2 linked regions of the Astyanax mexicanus genome follow. The protein of the gene in region 1 purifies or fractionates together with the protein of each later gene. This does not show direct contact. Links are inferred from orthologs where the notes say so. Each region holds a gene or a part of one and is shown on either strand. Other genes may lie near its edges. The genes, in order: zufsp and ubr5.

Evidence for each region.
Region 2: the proteins of zufsp (region 1) and ubr5 purify together in Homo sapiens (affinity purification with mass spectrometry, with the first as the bait; 3 studies listed by BioGRID). This does not show direct contact. The link is inferred for Astyanax mexicanus from reciprocal best matches to the Homo sapiens genes ZUP1 and UBR5.

The regions. Positions count from the first base shown.
Region 1 is NC_064411.1:31,758,980-31,767,703, reverse strand, and holds the start of zufsp (zinc finger-containing ubiquitin peptidase 1), read left to right. Parts: upstream 1-3,880; 5' UTR 3,881-4,014; intron 4,015-5,658; 5' UTR 5,659-5,671; coding exon 5,672-6,206; intron 6,207-6,302; coding exon 6,303-6,410; intron 6,411-7,918; coding exon 7,919-7,981; intron 7,982-8,101; coding exon 8,102-8,209; intron 8,210-8,724. Other genes in the region: kpna5 (importin subunit alpha-6), read right to left, coding at 376-477, 2,278-2,406. UniProt on the Homo sapiens protein: Deubiquitinase with endodeubiquitinase activity that specifically interacts with and cleaves 'Lys-63'-linked long polyubiquitin chains. Shows only weak activity against 'Lys-11' and 'Lys-48'-linked chains.
Region 2 is NC_064408.1:122,133,094-122,141,817, reverse strand, and holds the start of ubr5 (E3 ubiquitin-protein ligase UBR5), read left to right. Parts: upstream 1-3,346; 5' UTR 3,347-3,554; coding exon 3,555-3,616; intron 3,617-8,724. UniProt on the Homo sapiens protein: E3 ubiquitin-protein ligase involved in different protein quality control pathways in the cytoplasm and nucleus. Mainly acts as a ubiquitin chain elongator that extends pre-ubiquitinated substrates.

The sequences.
Region 1 (8,724 bases):
GACCGGAATAGTTAGCTAACTAGCTATCTAGTGAGACAAACTACTAGCTTTTTTATGCTTGTTATGAGGGAAAAGGCCTGAAAACATGTAAACTACACATTATATTATAGTAATATTGTGGTTAGTGTAACTTGTAACAAGGAAAATACTCAAATTTGTGGGTCTTCTTTGGTCTGTCTCACAAAATCTCAGTTTAACATTGTCATGTAGCTCTAACACTTCCCTCTACCTCTCTAGCCTAACAAGAATTAGGCTAACAGTGTAAAAGTGGTGAAATGGGAATGTACCATTTCTAGTGCTCTCCTGGATAAAAGCATGTATTCCCAGTTCCCAGCCAACAATTAACAGCACTTGGAGCATTAATAATACACTTACTCCTGATATGGGGACAGTGGAGCTGACGTCAGGATCCTGAATGGGGCACTCTAACATGGACTCATCACCCGGCGGCACATAAACATTCCTCCTCTTGAACAGCTGCAGTTCAGGAATAAAATACATAATATATAAAAAGAAAGATAAATTCATAACTATTTTACACAGGATACAAAAAAACATTCTAAATAATCTCACAAGTTACCATCTGTGTGTGATTCCAAAAATATATATTTAACTTGCATAGGTAATTTGTGTGAAAAAAACTAAATACATAAAAAAAATAAAATACATAAATAACAAGCTATTTACTATTTATGTTAGTCACATCACACTCTTTTGAGCTTTTGTAAAACTTTAGTAATGGTGCACAGTTACCAAAACAGTGTTTGAAAGATTTTGGACACAAAGTTATGCAAAACTTATGCAAAAGTTTTGCATAACATCTTTCACATCCTCCACCTAGACATACAACTGTTTGTATTCTGAATTTATCGTTTTAATTTATCATTAATTGCAAAATGAATATGTGAAATTTCATTTTCACCAATATGTCATTTAATTGCAAAAATATGCTGAACTACATACATATTTTATGTACAGCTCTGGAAAAAAATAAGAGACCACATTAGTTTGTAAAGCAGTTTTACAATTTTAATATTTATAGGTATTAGTTTGAGTAAAATGAACATAATTGTTTTATTCTATAAACTAAAATCTCCCAAATTCCTAATAATTCTCAAATAATGCAAAAGAAAACAAGTAAATATTTTTTATTAAGATTTAAGAGTTCAGAAATTAATATTTGGTGGAATAACTCTGGTCTTTCATCACAGTTTTCATGTATCTTGGCATGTTCTCCTCCACCAATCTTACACACTGCTTTTGGATAACTTTTTGCCACTCCTGGTGCAAGAATTCAAGCAGCTTAGCTTGGTTTGATGGCTTGTGATAATTCATCTTCCTCTTGATTATATTTCAGAGGTTTTCAATTTGGTAAAATCAAAGAAACTTATTTTGAAGTGGCTTTTATTTTTTCCCAGAGCTGTATATATAAACTTATACGTTGTGCATGGCTGAAACAGGCAATTCCACATTCTGTTACTATGAAATCTCATGCAGTTGCATTGTTTGAACACCAGACGTCAGATTTCTGCTAGTGCTGATCCGAAAACCCAGAGACCTTTCTAAGAAACATCAAAAGGAAGGCACCTGCCCATCATATGAATCGTATGTACAAAAATTGTTGGCCTAAATGAAACAAAGCATAGTTGTTTACCAAATCCAGATTATGCCTATATTCATTAATTTGTAACTACATGAGATCTCTCATGTGAGTCATGTCTGTGTTAAATTCTGTAATGATCTACTGAGCACAATGTGAGATCAATTAGGATGCTCTCCTTGTCACATGCCTACAACAAATGTTGGTCACTCTGTTTTGCTCGATTGCCCCAAGATATTATATAATATGATTTGTGGTTGGCATGCAGGAGAATCTGGAGTCATGTAAGAGGTGGGACATCTATTACAATTACACTGCCTAGCTTTAGAAGAACACAGGATAAATTACAGTTTTCCTGGTTGAGGTAATGTTACTTTTAACATAAGTACAGGAGCAAGCTACTAAATGAAGCTGAAGGGCAGAGTGTAACTGCTAAAAACATGGGTAAGAAGAGTATTTAAAACTTTCGGGAGTTTATCATTTCTGAGCTAAAAACAGCCTGTGTGTATGTGTGTGAGTAAGAGCAAGAGAGAAAGAGATTAGGAGGAAATATTACAGGATTTCAGACTAATACGAATTAATAGGAACAAACCACTGGACGTGGTCCAATTCCACCCTTTGGATTTGTCTGATTCTGCAACAAAGTGTACTTGAGTAATACTGCTTTACAGGCCTACCTGTTCTTCTCTCTTCTGTTTCCGCAGCTGGATGCCCTCTTCCTCCCTCCGTCTTCTCATCTCCTGCGGGTTCAGGGCCTTGTTCTTGTAGCTTTTCATTCGATAACTGTCTTTTCCTGGACTCGCCATTTTTGTTGTCCTAGTGGTCATACAGCAAAAGCTGATCAAATTGGTCTTGCACGCTGTGCAAAAGTTTCAAGTTTATAAGTATATAAAATTCCAGACATTTTTATTTCACATTTAAAACTTGCACTACATGATGATGGCTCAAAAATGTCATCAATATCCATAAATTCTTTCGACTTTCTTTTCGATTACAATTTAGATTTTTGGCTCTTACATAACATCAGTTATTTTAATATGTGACTATTAACACTCACAATATGCAGATCAGACAATTAATAATAACGCCCCCCTGCTGACGTCCAATCATCTGGGTCTCACTGCTATCAGAGGCATACTGCTGCAGCAGTAGCTCAGCCAATCAGCTCTCTCTCCTGCCGCACCTCTAAACCCATACATCACTCAACGCCCCTTCCAATTTTTAGCCTTTTTCCAAATTTGAGCTGAAGGTGGGGTCATCAAAAATCAGGGGGTTTAGTGCCCCTTAAAGACACTTTTAAAGCACAACAATATTTAACAATCCTTTAAGTGGTGTAGACAGAACATTAAATAATGATTAAAAAAATCTCAAACTGTTTTTATTTTATTTATTTTAATATGGAAAAGCTGAATATAGTTATACTAAACACATTAGCATAACTGTATGCTAACATTAGCTAGCTAGTCTCAGCAGCCAATATTATAGAAATACCACAAGTTATATTAACTATACAGCTTAAAAATGTACTGTATTTAAAAGTTAATCTGTATTTAAAAAATAAATCAGGTGGGATTTTGAGTTCTAAAACTGGTAGCGCTAAATAACAGCTGGTTTATTAGTAAGCTATGATAGCTAGCGTTAGCTAACTAAGCTAGCTAGCTAGATGCCAGGTGGGGCAACACAAAACTGAACCCACCCATTCCACCTTAAAGAGTAGAGTAGTTACCATAAACATATATGAGCAGTTAAATTCTGGAGTCTGCAGGATTTAGCTGGCACTGCTGCCCTGTATAAGGTGGAACGGACAATTAGATTAAGAAGGCAACTCCAGCATTTTGGAGCATTAAACAGCACCCAACTAAGATGTATGTTAGCATTACAAGCTGGTAAACCAATGTAACTGGGAACAATGTGTTTTAATCCGCACTAAGAAGGAAATTTATCTGTTTTTTCTTGGTTTCGCAACCCAAATATACCAGCTTTGCTCGCTAGTGCTAACCTAACGCTAGGTTAGCAGAGCTAATGCTAAGCTAGCTAACCTACGTCACTCCGCCTCTGCCCTCCTTTCTCAGCGTAATTAAAGCCCCTAATCACCCTTAACCCAACCTAAAGTCACACCGGACGGTGACTGAGGCTCACCTGTTCACTTCTAGACCCCAGTCCTGTGCGGATAGTCGCTTTTTTCGTGTTTTATTTGCTGTTCCGTTCCTCTCGCCTCCTTCCCGATTCACTCCGGCTGAGGAGGGCAATATGGCGTCCCCAGGTTACGGCCGAGAAGCGCGTCACTTCCCGCGATGTTTCCAGCGGGTCAGGCGAGGAAAACGAAAATAAAGAGGCTGAGTTTCAGTGAAATGAGAACCCGGAGAACCTGAGGTGCAGCGAGAAAAACTGATTAACAGGTTAAAACAACTCGAGTAAGTATTTAACCTACACCATTTAAATGTAGCTAGATATGCTGGAGGTTTATCTGTGTGTTTCTATTGTCTCTGAATGGTTGAATATGATTGAATACATTGAAGGGGCTCATTCATTCTGTCTAAAACATGCCATCGTCCTCGTTTGATTAAAAAAGCAACATATTTCTGACTTCTAGTGCACGAACTTGCATGTGGGAGTGTTTATTTAGATTTAGATCCCTGCTGTAAACAAAACTGCACAGCTCCAGCTGGTTAAGCTAAGCCGGTTGACCAGTTTAGATTTTGTCCAATGTAGAGTATGTTTCTGTTTTTGTTAACACAGACTTTGATGGTTTAGTTGCTCTACAAGCATGACAAACCAAAAAAAGCTAGCTAGATATCCAAACTTGACCATGCTCTGCGACCAAGCTGGATATCCAGAATAACCAGCATGTACAAGCTGGTCAATCTTCAAAACAAATAATACCAAGCCGGTTGACCCGCAGGACCATCCTGACCAAGCAGGTTAGCCAGAATAACCAGCCTGACCAAGCTGATCGACCAGCAAGACCCGCCTGACAAAGCAAGTTGACCTGTATGACCAGCATTATCAAGCTGGTTGGCCAGAATAACCAGCCTGACCAAACTGGTTAACCGTTAAGACCAGCCTGACCAATCAGGTTAACCAGAATAACCAGCCTGACCAAGCTGGTCAACCTTCATAACATTCATTACCAAGCTGGTTGACCAACAAAACCAGCCTGACCAAGTATGTTAGCCAGAATAACCACCCTGACCAAGCTGGTTGGTCAGAATAACCAGCTTGACAAAACTGGTTGACCATCAAGACCATCCTGACCAAGTAGGTTAGCCAGGATAACCATCCTGACCAAGCATGTTGACCTGTATGATCAGCACAACCAAGCTGGTTGGCCACAATACCCAGCCTGACCAAGCAGGTTGACCACCAAGACTAGCCTTACCAAGCAGGTTAGCCAGAATAACCAGTCTGAATAAGCTGGTCAACCCTTATAACAATCTTTACCAAACTGGTTGCCCAATTGTTGATAAATATGGTAATTTAGTTGGCCAAGGAAGTGTTGCAATAGGCATTCCTGGTAAAACCCTTGATGAGTTTAAAACCCTTAATGAGTTAGCATTATCCTGTTCCAACTGTTCCAGTTGGAAGCCCTGCCGTGAGAGGCATCACGTGGCACATTTTAGTGGTTGTCTGTTGTATCACCCAGCGGTTGAGGCTTTTCTTAAAGTCAATAAGGTTTTAGTCCTTATCAGTCCAGGTTTCCTGGTCACAACACCACTGTAAAGGGCGACGTTTGCTGGATGACTGGCTTATGGTTTGTCAAAAATGACCATCCTGCTTTGCTGAGTCCATTGATGTACCCCATTTTGAAGTGAACTTGGCAAATGTCTTCACATGCATTGTAGAAGCAGGTCTAGCAGTCAACAATCTCTCACCAAGTGATACACTACTGAAAAGTAGCCCCTGAGAGACTTTTAATGTAATGCAGTGGGAGAAGCACTTTTACGCCCCTTTAAAAAGCACATTATTATAATATAATATAATATTATAACAGTACAATTTTGAGATGCTTCATGAAACACTTACTGATTCTGCACGTTTACTATGTACTCCACTGACAGAAGCTGTCCCACCATGCCTGTTTGTGACATCTGCTGCCAAGAGTTTGCATCTGAATCAGAATTAAAAACCCACCTCCTTCTGAGCCACCTGGAAAATGAGATGAGCTGTCCGTTTTGCTCGCTATCAGGAGTCTCCTACGATGAGCTGAACTTCCACATTAGTACTGCACACACAGAGATGGATCTTCAGAACTCACCCACTGACAAGGCATCAGCAGATCGGGTACCAGACCCCACTGAAACCAATGGTGCTAAATGGACTGTGAAGAATTCGCCAGCCTCTTGTAACTCATGGAGAACTCCAGCTTCCCCTCAAACATCAGGTCATCACACTCTCAAAACAGCTAATGAGACGGCTGCGCCTAGTGCAGGAATTGCACTTACTCAAGGTCAAGGAGCCCAGTCCAGGATTAAATCCTCACCTCCTGCGGCAAGCACAGCAAGCGCATCTAAAAAACAAACATCCAGCGTCCACCCTGGGCAGTCTGAGGATTACTCAGCAGAGCATTGCAAGGCCAAACAGAAACGCCTGTCCTCCCCCAAGAAAGGTATTCATCAATAAAATGTCTTAATATATTCTTATATTTATTTTATAGTGGCCTTTGTTTGGATATGTTTGGTTATTTATGGTCGTTTTGTTGCAGAGAGGATGTTTCCCTGTCCGTTCTGCAGTCTGGTCTGCAGTGACTGCTTTATTCTTCAGGAACACGTTGAGCTGCATCTCCAGGACCAGGCTTCATCTGCATCTGAAGGTAGTATAGCGATTGTTACTGGTGTTTTTCAGTGATTTTAGTCTGGTGTAAATGTGCTATGATGCTCCTGGGTCTGTATAGATTCTTCTATTTATTTGTTAAATATTATTAAATATTGCCTATTTTCTCAGAGTGTACAGAGGTGCTCAAGAATAGGACCTTGGTGAAATGGAAAAAATAATCTTATCACAATATAGTTTTCCGTGTCAGTCGATATCGATATGTATCACCATATAAATCAATCACTGTCACACTTAAAGGGTTCTTTTTACTCATAAGTGAGAGATAAGGGAGTTATTTAGTCAGAAGGTAACAAATGAACATTATATAACTATAATATATATATAAATAAATAAATAAATAAAAGCATAACACTTCATTCAAAGATCAGATGTTACAGAATAAAAAAGTAGGCAGAGAACTAAATTCTTTGGTCAGTTCCAAATCAATAAAACCTATCATACAAAATAAAGTATTCTTTTCTTTTTATAACAAAATCTTCAAGCAACTTTCCAATGTAAACAAAAGAGAACATATAATTTACTCAGTTGTGCTCAATAAATCCTCATTAGTGCAGTCCTGTCTATTAGTGCTGTCAAATTTTCACACCAGACATACCCTACTACAGGCTGCGGGCCAGGAAGACAAGTCTGTCCACTGCCTCGTGTTTTAAAGCTGTCCTGTGGCAGGTCACAATACAGAAACCAATATATTTATACTAACAGAAGCAAATACTAATAAATAAATGAATAATATAGAAATAATAAGCATACTTAATGGCAATTTACATTACAATTTACCAACTCTCCCTCTCCACAACACAACTGATGCTCTCAAACACAATGAGAGGAAGAGAAATTCAAGTAATTCACTCTTGACAAGTTCAGCACAGCTGTTAACCGAAAGCTGATCAATCCAGGTGACTCTACCTCATAAAGCTGACTGAGAAAATCCAGCCAAGATGTGCAAAGCTGTTTCTATCTAAGCAAGAGGTGCTACTTTGAAGAATCTAAAGTATAAAACAGATTCTGCTTTCTTCAACATTTGTTTTTTGTTCCATATGCTTTTCTTCATAGTCTGGATAGCTTTAGTATTAATTTACAATCTGTCTTGTCAATAATCCAGTACGTCATGATAATAATAATAATGCAATCGGTGCACCAATGATTGGAGTAAAATAAATGGTACCTGGTAGATATAATTGTTTATCTGGTAGATATTATTATGTAAAATAAGAATAGTTTGATTTTTATTTCTTAAGCAGCAAACTAGTTCTGTATACAAAATATATACATTGCAATATCGATGCTGAAATGATATATTGTGCAGCCATAATTCTGTGTGCAATTCATTTTTGATTATAAGTGTATTTTACTGATGTAACATTTACTGTAAAATGAATTGCATCCAAGTAGGGTATAATACTATTAACACTGTTGTTTTTCTGTGCCGTAGCCATAAATCTTACTATATAGGCAGTATTGCATATGCTATTTTGTTGTTTTCAGGAGCTGTTCCTGAAGCAGGAGCATCAGCACAGGCATGTTCTTCTGTGAGAAACGGAGAACCAGGTGAAAAAAGATATTTGATTGGATTGGTGCATGAATTAAAAAAATGTGTCTAAAATGGAAATGCATTGTATTGCTTAAATTCAGCTGTGCATTACCTGGGCTTTAATTTGGAACCGGTAGGTTTTCCACTGTACGAGTGTCCGTTGTGTTCCTTGGTCTGTGTGGACAACAGCTCGCTGCAGGAGCATGTAGAGCTGCATCTGGAGTATGGCACGGCTGCTGCTGCAGGTAAATTGATGGAAATATCAGCAAAGCATTATGCAGTTATTCTGTTCTATCATAAAGATGCGATAATGTGTATTAGACGTAGGACACATAATCATGTCCATTTATGACAATTGAGTTTCGGGTCTGGTGTCCTTAATATGTCAATAACAGATGTTATTGCCCTGCCAGCAGCACTGAGGAGAGTTCTCAAATGATAAACTAAAGAGTCTATTTAGAATTTGCAGTCTGGGATAGTTTTACAGTGGAGCTTAAAATATAATATAAAACTATCACAGAAACGCTCTGTTTTACCAGTGAGGAGAACTGCACACCTTGGTAGGTGGTACCAAGGAAGGTCAGGTAGGTCAGTCATATCAATTTATAAGATATTCAACACCCTGTAAAAGGTAATGTTGTAAAAAGTCACTACTAAACTAAAGAAATCAGTGCAGAATATTTAATTATACAAACTGACATGAAAAATAAAGTTTCTTTTCTTCAGTATTAATCAGCAGCACACCTTATCTAAATGTGTG
Region 2 (8,724 bases), on another chromosome or scaffold:
GAGATGTCAAGGCACCCCAGTTTACGAACGGGGGGGGGGGGGTGCTGGCGCAGTACTTCAGGTGAGAACGAGGGGTGTTGCTGGCGGAATATGAAATAAAATAGCGCGTGCATCGCGTGGGGGGACAAAAACTTTACAGTGTGTCCCAATTTAGGGGCTGCATCCTTCAGAGGCTGTATTCGAAGACAGATTGCGTCACAGCTGCGCAGTAATACACCGCCTCTGTGGGTCGCATCCTTCAGAGTATGCTGCCTGTGAATTGGGACACACCCCGACACGAGCTGACTCTGGAAAGGAAATATGCACGTGAGGCGCAATATTTTGACGGCACCCCCGATGAAGCCAGACGGCACCCCAGGGTGCCGCGGCACCCTGGTTGAGAAACACTGCTGTAGATGATGAATCTGTAGAATAATGGTTCAGTGCTATTGCGCCATCTGCTGGTTACTAAAGCTAACACACTGTTACTACAGCAGCTGTATCTGTTTATTATAGACATATTTAGAGGCTTGTTCAGTACGCTATGATATTCATTTTTTGCATTTGGACCATATGTGCATTACTTTACTCAGCACACCACACTGCTGAAAAAAAATATATTTTTATTTGAATATTAGTCAAATTTGAGTAAAATTTACTTTTTAAAAAATCCGCAATTTTTTTGCATTTGCGTTTTTTAAGTAAATTTAATTTCAGCGAATTTAAGTAACGTCGGGTAAGAATCGGGTGTCAGGATCGCCAACATGGCGGAAGATTTTGGCTTCATTTTCAGTGAATGAATGGGAACGGAGACACGACGTCCATCTTTTTTTACAGTCTCTGCTAAAACCAAATAAACATTAATAAAGTCAGTTATCAGTGAGAGTATCTACCTGTAATTAACTCTATATAACATTAGAATTAGCTCAGTACAGAATTAGCTCAGTACAGAATTAGCTTAGTACAGAATTAGCTCAATACAGAACCAGTTCAATACAGAATTAGCTCAGTAAAGAAATAGCTCGGTATAAAATTAGCTCAGTACTAAATAAGCTTAGTATAGAATTAGCTCAGTACAGAATTAGCTCAGTATAAAATAAGCTCAGTGCTAAATAAGCTTAGTGTAGAATTAGCTCAGTACAGAACTAGCTTAAAACAGAATTAGTTCAGTACAGAACTAGCTCGGTACTGAATTAGCTCAATACAGAACTAGCTCAGTACAGAATTAGCTCAGTACAGAATTAGCTCAATACAGAATTAGCTCAGTACAGAATTAGCTCAGTACAGAATTAGCTCAGTACATAATTAGCTTGATACAGAATTAGCTCAATACTTTATTAGCTCAGTACAGAATTAGCTCAACACAGAATTAGCTCAGAACAGAACCAGTTCAATACTGAATCAGCCTGAATTCAGAACCAGTCTTCCTAAATCACACAGCTTGAAACAGCTTGACTCAAGTAGAAGTATTGCCAATACATTAGGGCTCAATAATAAATCATATTTCTCTCTGATATAAATTGTTTTGTGATATAAATCATGCTGTTGAGAGCTGGTAGACTGAGCGTGACATGGTGAGCTCATGGTTAACAACATCAGGTACCTGTTTGGGATTAAAAACCGCTGAGCAGCAGTTGGTCTCAACGTACAAGTCAAATTACAGCCTCCTCTCTTTCTCCTGTAATCTGAGAGAGGTGTTCACACGCTTTGTGTCTCTCAGGTCCCTGTAGACCCCCCACCCATCTGCCTCCCCAGGGGTACGTTAGTGACAGGTTTAAGTGTTATACCCGTAAACGCTCCTGTTGCTCCTGTTCTGATTTGCAACCCTAAATAAGTGACAAATTGTGATCCGACAGACCATTATTCCATAAAGAATGAAAACCTGCAAAAAAAAAATTGTTTGGTATCCATCATTTGATTGGTTTCAGTTTCATCCAAAAAGTGTTTTGGTGCATATTAAGCTAAATAGCTAAAGGCTAAAGCTGTTGCCATGTGGGTCAGCCAGACGTCTTCCTGTAGCAGTTTTCTCTTGTTTCCAAGAGTCTTGTGAAGGTGTAGAAAACAGTACTCACTGCTCTTTCTCTAAAGAAAAGACTTGTATTTTAATAGTGACAAAGTTCTCTGTGTTTTTGTGTCTTTGTCTAATTATTATGATGAAAGTGTGAATGTGCTGTGTGTAAATGTTGTAGTACAGACAAAGAAAACTGACATTTCCCATTGCTCTTCACTAGCTGTAAGCTGTTAAGCAAAAAAAGTTTAACAAAAAAAAAATCACCCCCTCCGTTTTTGACAAAAAAAAAAAAAATTCTTCAGTTTTTAGTTTATTTGTTTTCCTCAAAGACAATTTTGTACATTAGATTTCTAGTTATTGACTGGACCTAAAGAGCTTAAATGGCAAAGAAAAAGAGGGAAAATGGGGTGTTTTATAATTTTTTTTTTTTATTATTATTCAATAATGGTATTAATAATATTAGAATTTTACATTATGCTTCCCCCGTTATCTTTAAACTCTTCAGGTCCAGTCAATAACCAATAATCCTACAAAATCCAGTGTATTTTAGTGTTTATTTCTTTTATTGTTGATGATTATGACTTACAGCCAATGAAAACCCAAAAATAAGTATCTATAAAATATTATATAAGACCATTTGGTACTTTTGGGAGTTTGGGCAGTGTGCCAAGTCCTGCTGGAAAATGAAATCGGCAACTCCATGAAAGTTGTCAGCAGAGGGAAGCATGAAGTGCTGTAAGATTTTGTGAGAAAACACTGCACTAAAACACAGTGGATCAACACCAGCAGATGACATGTCTCTCCAAACCATCACTGATTGGTGGAAACTTCACACTAATAATTTTATAATAATACATATATATTTTATATTATATTTATTTTACTCAATAAAATAATAATTTAAGAAGTTTAATACATTTACATGCATCATTTTTTTGAATGATATAATAATATAATACTTAATAATAAATTACCTTGCATAAGTTTATTTTACTCAGTAATATATAATAATAAAATAAATGTAATACATTCATACAAATCAGGTTATTTTACTCAATAATGTAACAAAATATTAACTTAATTTAGGAAAATTTAGTAAATAAAATTAACTAACACGCATTAGTTTATTTTACTCAGTAATATATAATAATTAATAAATGTAATAAATTAACGTGAATCCTAATACAGCACTGTGACATCACTACCAGCAGCAGCAGAAGCAGCAAGAGGCCACGCCCCCAGCTCCTTTCTCTCTTAGCGCTGCTCCAATCAGCTTCCAGCATTTGCTGCCAGATCCCGCAGGTCCAACCAGCTCGGCTGTTGTTTCGGAGCCGGGCGGCCCACGGTTGGACCGCTGCGCTGCTCTGCACACAAAACCAGCAGCAGGCTGGCGGAGCTGAGATGGCGGCGTGTGGGTGAGGAGGCGGTTGTGTGATCGGAGCGCGGCGTTTCTGGAGCGGAATACAGAGAGTTTATACAGCGGAGCGGCGCAGGAGGCCAGCACGCGGTGCGCACACTGCAGCCCGGACTACGGCTCGCGTTAGGCCCGCGTTCCGGAGCGACCATGACCTCCATACACTTCGTGGTTCACCCGCTGCCCGGGACCGAGGACCAGCTCAATGACAGGTAGCCCGGCTAACGGAGAGAGAGAGCGGGGGGGAAAACACACACTCCCCGCTGATTTTACACACCCTGCGCTCATACTAAACACACACACATACTAATAAACTGTATTACAGGGGTTTATCCGCATTAATCCGCTGTTTTTACCCGGTTTTAACCTGTAATAATGCGCCGGGGCCCGGCTACTTCTGCTGCTTCATTCTAGAGAAGCTAGTTAGCTAATGCTAGCGTGAGCCGGTGTGCTGCCGAATTGTGCTACCCTGTCAAATCCTGCTACCATGGTGCATATCTAACTACAGGTCAAGTTGCCTAGGTTAAGTAGATAAATAGGTCAGTTAGGTCAGTGTTACGCCTGGCTATCAGTTTTCAGATTAATCTAAGTAAGGTTAAATAAATCTGGTAAATACAAAAATAAGGAAAATTAAGATTAGATTCTTTTGTTTATTTGGTTTATAACTTCACATTTTTATGATGCAACGTTTGGAAAACAAAAAAGTCTCACAAAAGATTGTGAGTACAGATCCTCTTTATCTTAACTATTGTAAATAAATTAGAAATACATTGAAATACATAAATACAAATAGTTTTGCACCTAGTTTTCTCTTTTACAAATTCTGCCTTACAGCAGCCAGACATTTGAACTGATATATTAAGTAGTTAAGACAAAAGCTACAAAAGTAATTTCTTATATTATGTATACCATCAAATTTTAAATGTTGATCTTTTTTTTTAGAAAGATTTGCTAAAATAATGGAACACAGTTTTCTGTTTATAAATTCTGCCTCAAAGAGTTGCAAAAATTGAGCTGATAAGATACATTGACCTAAATAAACCAACATAAGTAATTAGGTTACAATCAGATTTTCGTTAAAAAAAAAAAAAAAAATCATTGTCCAGAAGATTTGCTAGGAAAATGGAAACAGAAAAATTTAGCCAATTTTCTGTTTTTAAAAATTGTAAAATCATTCAATCATGAAGATTTGTTAGAAAAATGGAAAGATGCAAATACAACCAATTATCTAACTTAAAGTGTCAGAATATTTGAGCCAATAAATAATACATAAACCTAAATAAACCATCTTACGTAATTAGACAAAAGTTACAAAAGTCGTTTATATTATTAATACCATCAGATAAATAAAACATGCAAATACAGCCAATTTTCTGTTTTTAAATTCTCTCTCAAAGGGTCAGAAAATTTAAACTGTTGTATTGAAGAATTGTAACAAAAAAGGTTATAATAAACCACAGAAAAACGAATCAAAACACACAAAGTTGTCCTGAAACACACACCAAAACACTAAAAATATCAGTTGACGCATGCGCAGAGGCACGGAGTAACACAAACAGATGGGTGGTACAAATAGACCCAACACCATAGTGATGGACAATGCGGGTTGGGGGATGGGGAGAAAAAAGAGGGAACGGGGACAAATCGCGCTTATTAGCGATTACTTTCTTTACGTTTAAAAGCGTACGGGCTTTAACTGTTTAGAAAACCCCCATATCGATGTTGTCGCGGCCGTAACTGATCGATAATCGATAGAAGAATCGAGTTTGGCTGCGCGAGGAGCGGGACGCTTTAGCTTAGCGTAGCATAGCTTTAGCTTAGCATAGTTTAGCTTTAGCTTAGCATAGTTTAGCTTTAGCTTAGCCTAGTTTAGCATAGCTAGCTGAACTGTTAACGGTGGTTTAGCGGACTATCCGGCGCCAGCCGGCTAATTAACCATAAAAATAAGGATATTAAACGTATAATCTCTCACAATCAGGCTATAAATGTTTCCAGAAATGAGAATAATTAATATTAAACTGCTTTTTATCCCGGTGGTTGATTAGCTAAGCAGGTTGGCTAGTTAAAAAAACACAAACATGAAGGAAGAAGAAGGCCCTGCAGTATCAGATTATTCAGTTTATTCAGTTTTATTTAGTTTATATTTAGTTTATTAGGTATAACTCTCTGCTTTTCTCTTCTGTCTTGTGCTTTTAAATGTAATAGGGGGTAAAATCTACATTATTATGAGCGCAGTAACTACATTTTTGTGTTCTTTTATTTAACTACAGGGGGTCGTGGGCTGCTACAACATGGTGTTAGAGCCGCCTGGCTCTGGTAATTTATGGGTTACTTATCTATTAATATCAATATCAAATCAATAACTAGCAATATAACTCCTGTTTGAGATCATATACAAGAGTTTTACACAAGAAACCTCATCAATTTGTTTGTCACTTTGTGAAAAATGTCCCATTTCAATGAATGTTTAGCTTTTAAAAATGGAGACAAATGGGCAGAGTACTCTAGTTGTATTTACATCATAATATCGGTATTAAGCACATATACATATTTACACAGTAGGGGTGTGCCTAGGGCTGGGTGATATGGATTAAAACTAATACAGACACTTTTATAAAAGTTCAGCTTGAGATTAACACGAGATATATGAACATTCAATCAGTATAAGCTACATTCTTTAGCTATAACATGGTGTTAAAGCGGGTTAGTGGTGTTAGTGGGTTACTTATCTATTAACATCAATACCAAATCAATAACTAGCATTTGAAACTCCAATTTAAAATCATATACAAGAGTTTTATACATACGTTTGTGAAAGTGACCTGTTTGTATGGATGTTTAGCTGATTTAGATCAATTAAGCTTTTAAAATAGAAATAAATTGACATTCCTCTTGTATTTGTATTTGCAGTTTATTATTGGCATTAAGCACAAACTGTCAACTCATCCTCTATCGAGATAAACTACCTTTTTATGTGATTAAATACACATAAAAATACACATGTCTCTTGCTGTTTTTGTGTTTGTGGATTACGTAGCTATTTATATCAATACCAAATCAATAACTAGCAATGTAATTATTATTTTAGTTCATATACAAGAGTTTTACACGAGAAACCTCATCAGTTTGTGAAAAATTACCTGTTAAAATAGATGTTTAGCTGATTTAGATCAGTTAAGCTGTGGAAACAGAAGTAAATTGACAGCAGAGTACTCTAGTTGTATTCACATTCTAATATTGGTATTAAGCACAAACTGTTGGAACTCATTGGAATTCAACACTGTCCAAATTGATATAAACTACATTTTTTGTGTTATATTATTTAACTAAAGGGTGTCTTTAGCAGAAACATGGTGTTAGAGCTTACTGGTTCTGGTTGTTTTTGTGTTAGCGGGTTAATTACCTATCAGTATCAATAACTAGCAGTATAACTCCAATTTGAGACCACATACAAGATTTTTGCACAGGAAATGTTTTTTTTTTTGCCTCATCAATGTTTAGCTTTGGAAATGGAAACAAATGGGCAGAGTACTTAAGTTGTATTTAAATTCTAATAATGGTATAAAGAACATTTGCATACAGCTCTGGGGATATAAATGAGAGACCACTTAAAATTTAGTTTCTTTGATTTTACATGTGAATTTAATTTGAATTACATGTATGCTGTCCGACTCATTAGTCCACAAATCCATATAAATGATGAATATTCACATGAAGAGTCTCTCTTAATTTTTTTATTTTCACCTGAAATTAATTCATTTTTAATATTGACTAAGTTTGTTAATCTTATTTTAAGTTTTAGGTTTTAAGATATGTTTTACTATCTCATTTGTTTATTCATTTAAACATCAATTTCAGTGTTTTAAAGCATTATATAAGCTTGTTTTAAACATAAGTGTGTGCTGTCCATCTCATTATTCCACAAATCCATATGAAGAATTTTTTTGATTTTCTATTTTTTTTTTTTACCTGAAAATAATTCTAACATTGACTCATTTTATTTGTTAATTTTAGTTTTATGAGTTTTTAGGTTTTAAGAAATATTTTCTTCACTGTCTTAATTGTTTATTAATTAAAACATAAATTTTAGTGCTTAAATAAGATCATTTTAAACGTGCCTATGTGTGTGCTGTCCGTCTCCTTATTCCAAAAATGCATATGAAGGCCTGATATATTATATGCATTCCAGATCGTTCTTCGCATGTGCCATCTCTTTATTGTTTATAATGTGTTTGAGGTTGAGCATTGCAACTTAGACAAGCAAGAGGACTTTCTGATTTTCTGCTAGTTTTGACTCTCAGTTGTTTATTCATTTAAACGCAAATTTTAGTGATGTAAAACATTTATATAAGCTTGTTTTGAACATACATTCATGTGTGCTGTCCGACTCCTTATTCCACAAATCTTGATTTGTAAATGCCTAAAATATGTTACCATGACTCTGCTGACATTCTTAATGTGGTGGAGATCAGCACTGCAACCCAGGCAAGCAAGGGGATTTTCTGATTTTCTGCTAGATAATTATCTTCGCAAAAAAACAACAACTTGAGTTTTAGTTGCTTTTGTTTGAGCCTCTATTGTCTAGGTAAAGCTTAATAGTGTGTTTTAGGGCACTGTGGAGAGAATTTGATTGAAAGCGATACCAAGAGTGTCATTGAGTGAATGGATATTTTGAGTCTCCACCATTTAAATGGGCAGAAATGTTAAAAAGTGGTGAATTTTTCCTTTAAGCCTGACGTCAGCTGGGCTGGAAGTGATGTTATGGTGTTATTACAGTGCAGTCTGGGCCGTGACTAAGCTTAGAGAGTGCTCTGCATATTGATTTATACTCATTGTTCTGTGGCTGGCAGTGAAGGTAATGAATCATATGGGTCACATACTGAATTTCTGTATGTGCAAACATGTGTTTAATGATACTACGCAGGTTTGATGAGGATCACCTTGTTGTTTTGAAGGTCCGCAGGCTTTCAGCAGGCTGTTTATGTTCTGGTTTACTCTATGCTGGACTATAATTAGCAGTGTGATTTTTAATTTGACACATTATATTGTGTGAGCATATTCAGCACGCTAAGCAGTGTGATCTCCACATCCATCAAAGAGACTTGTGGTGTTTTTGGATCTTTCCACCTCTGATTTCCAGGAAACTGGTCTGAAACCCCATAATGATTCCTTGGCGAGTTTTGGTGAGTGCGTTTGTCGAGTCCGGCCCGTCTGCAGCACTGCTGTCACAGGATATGAGGTGCTTTCCAGTGTCCCTTCATGTGCAGCTGTGAAGCTCGGTATGACCTCAGCAGATGTGGGTATTGGTTGCACAAGGAAT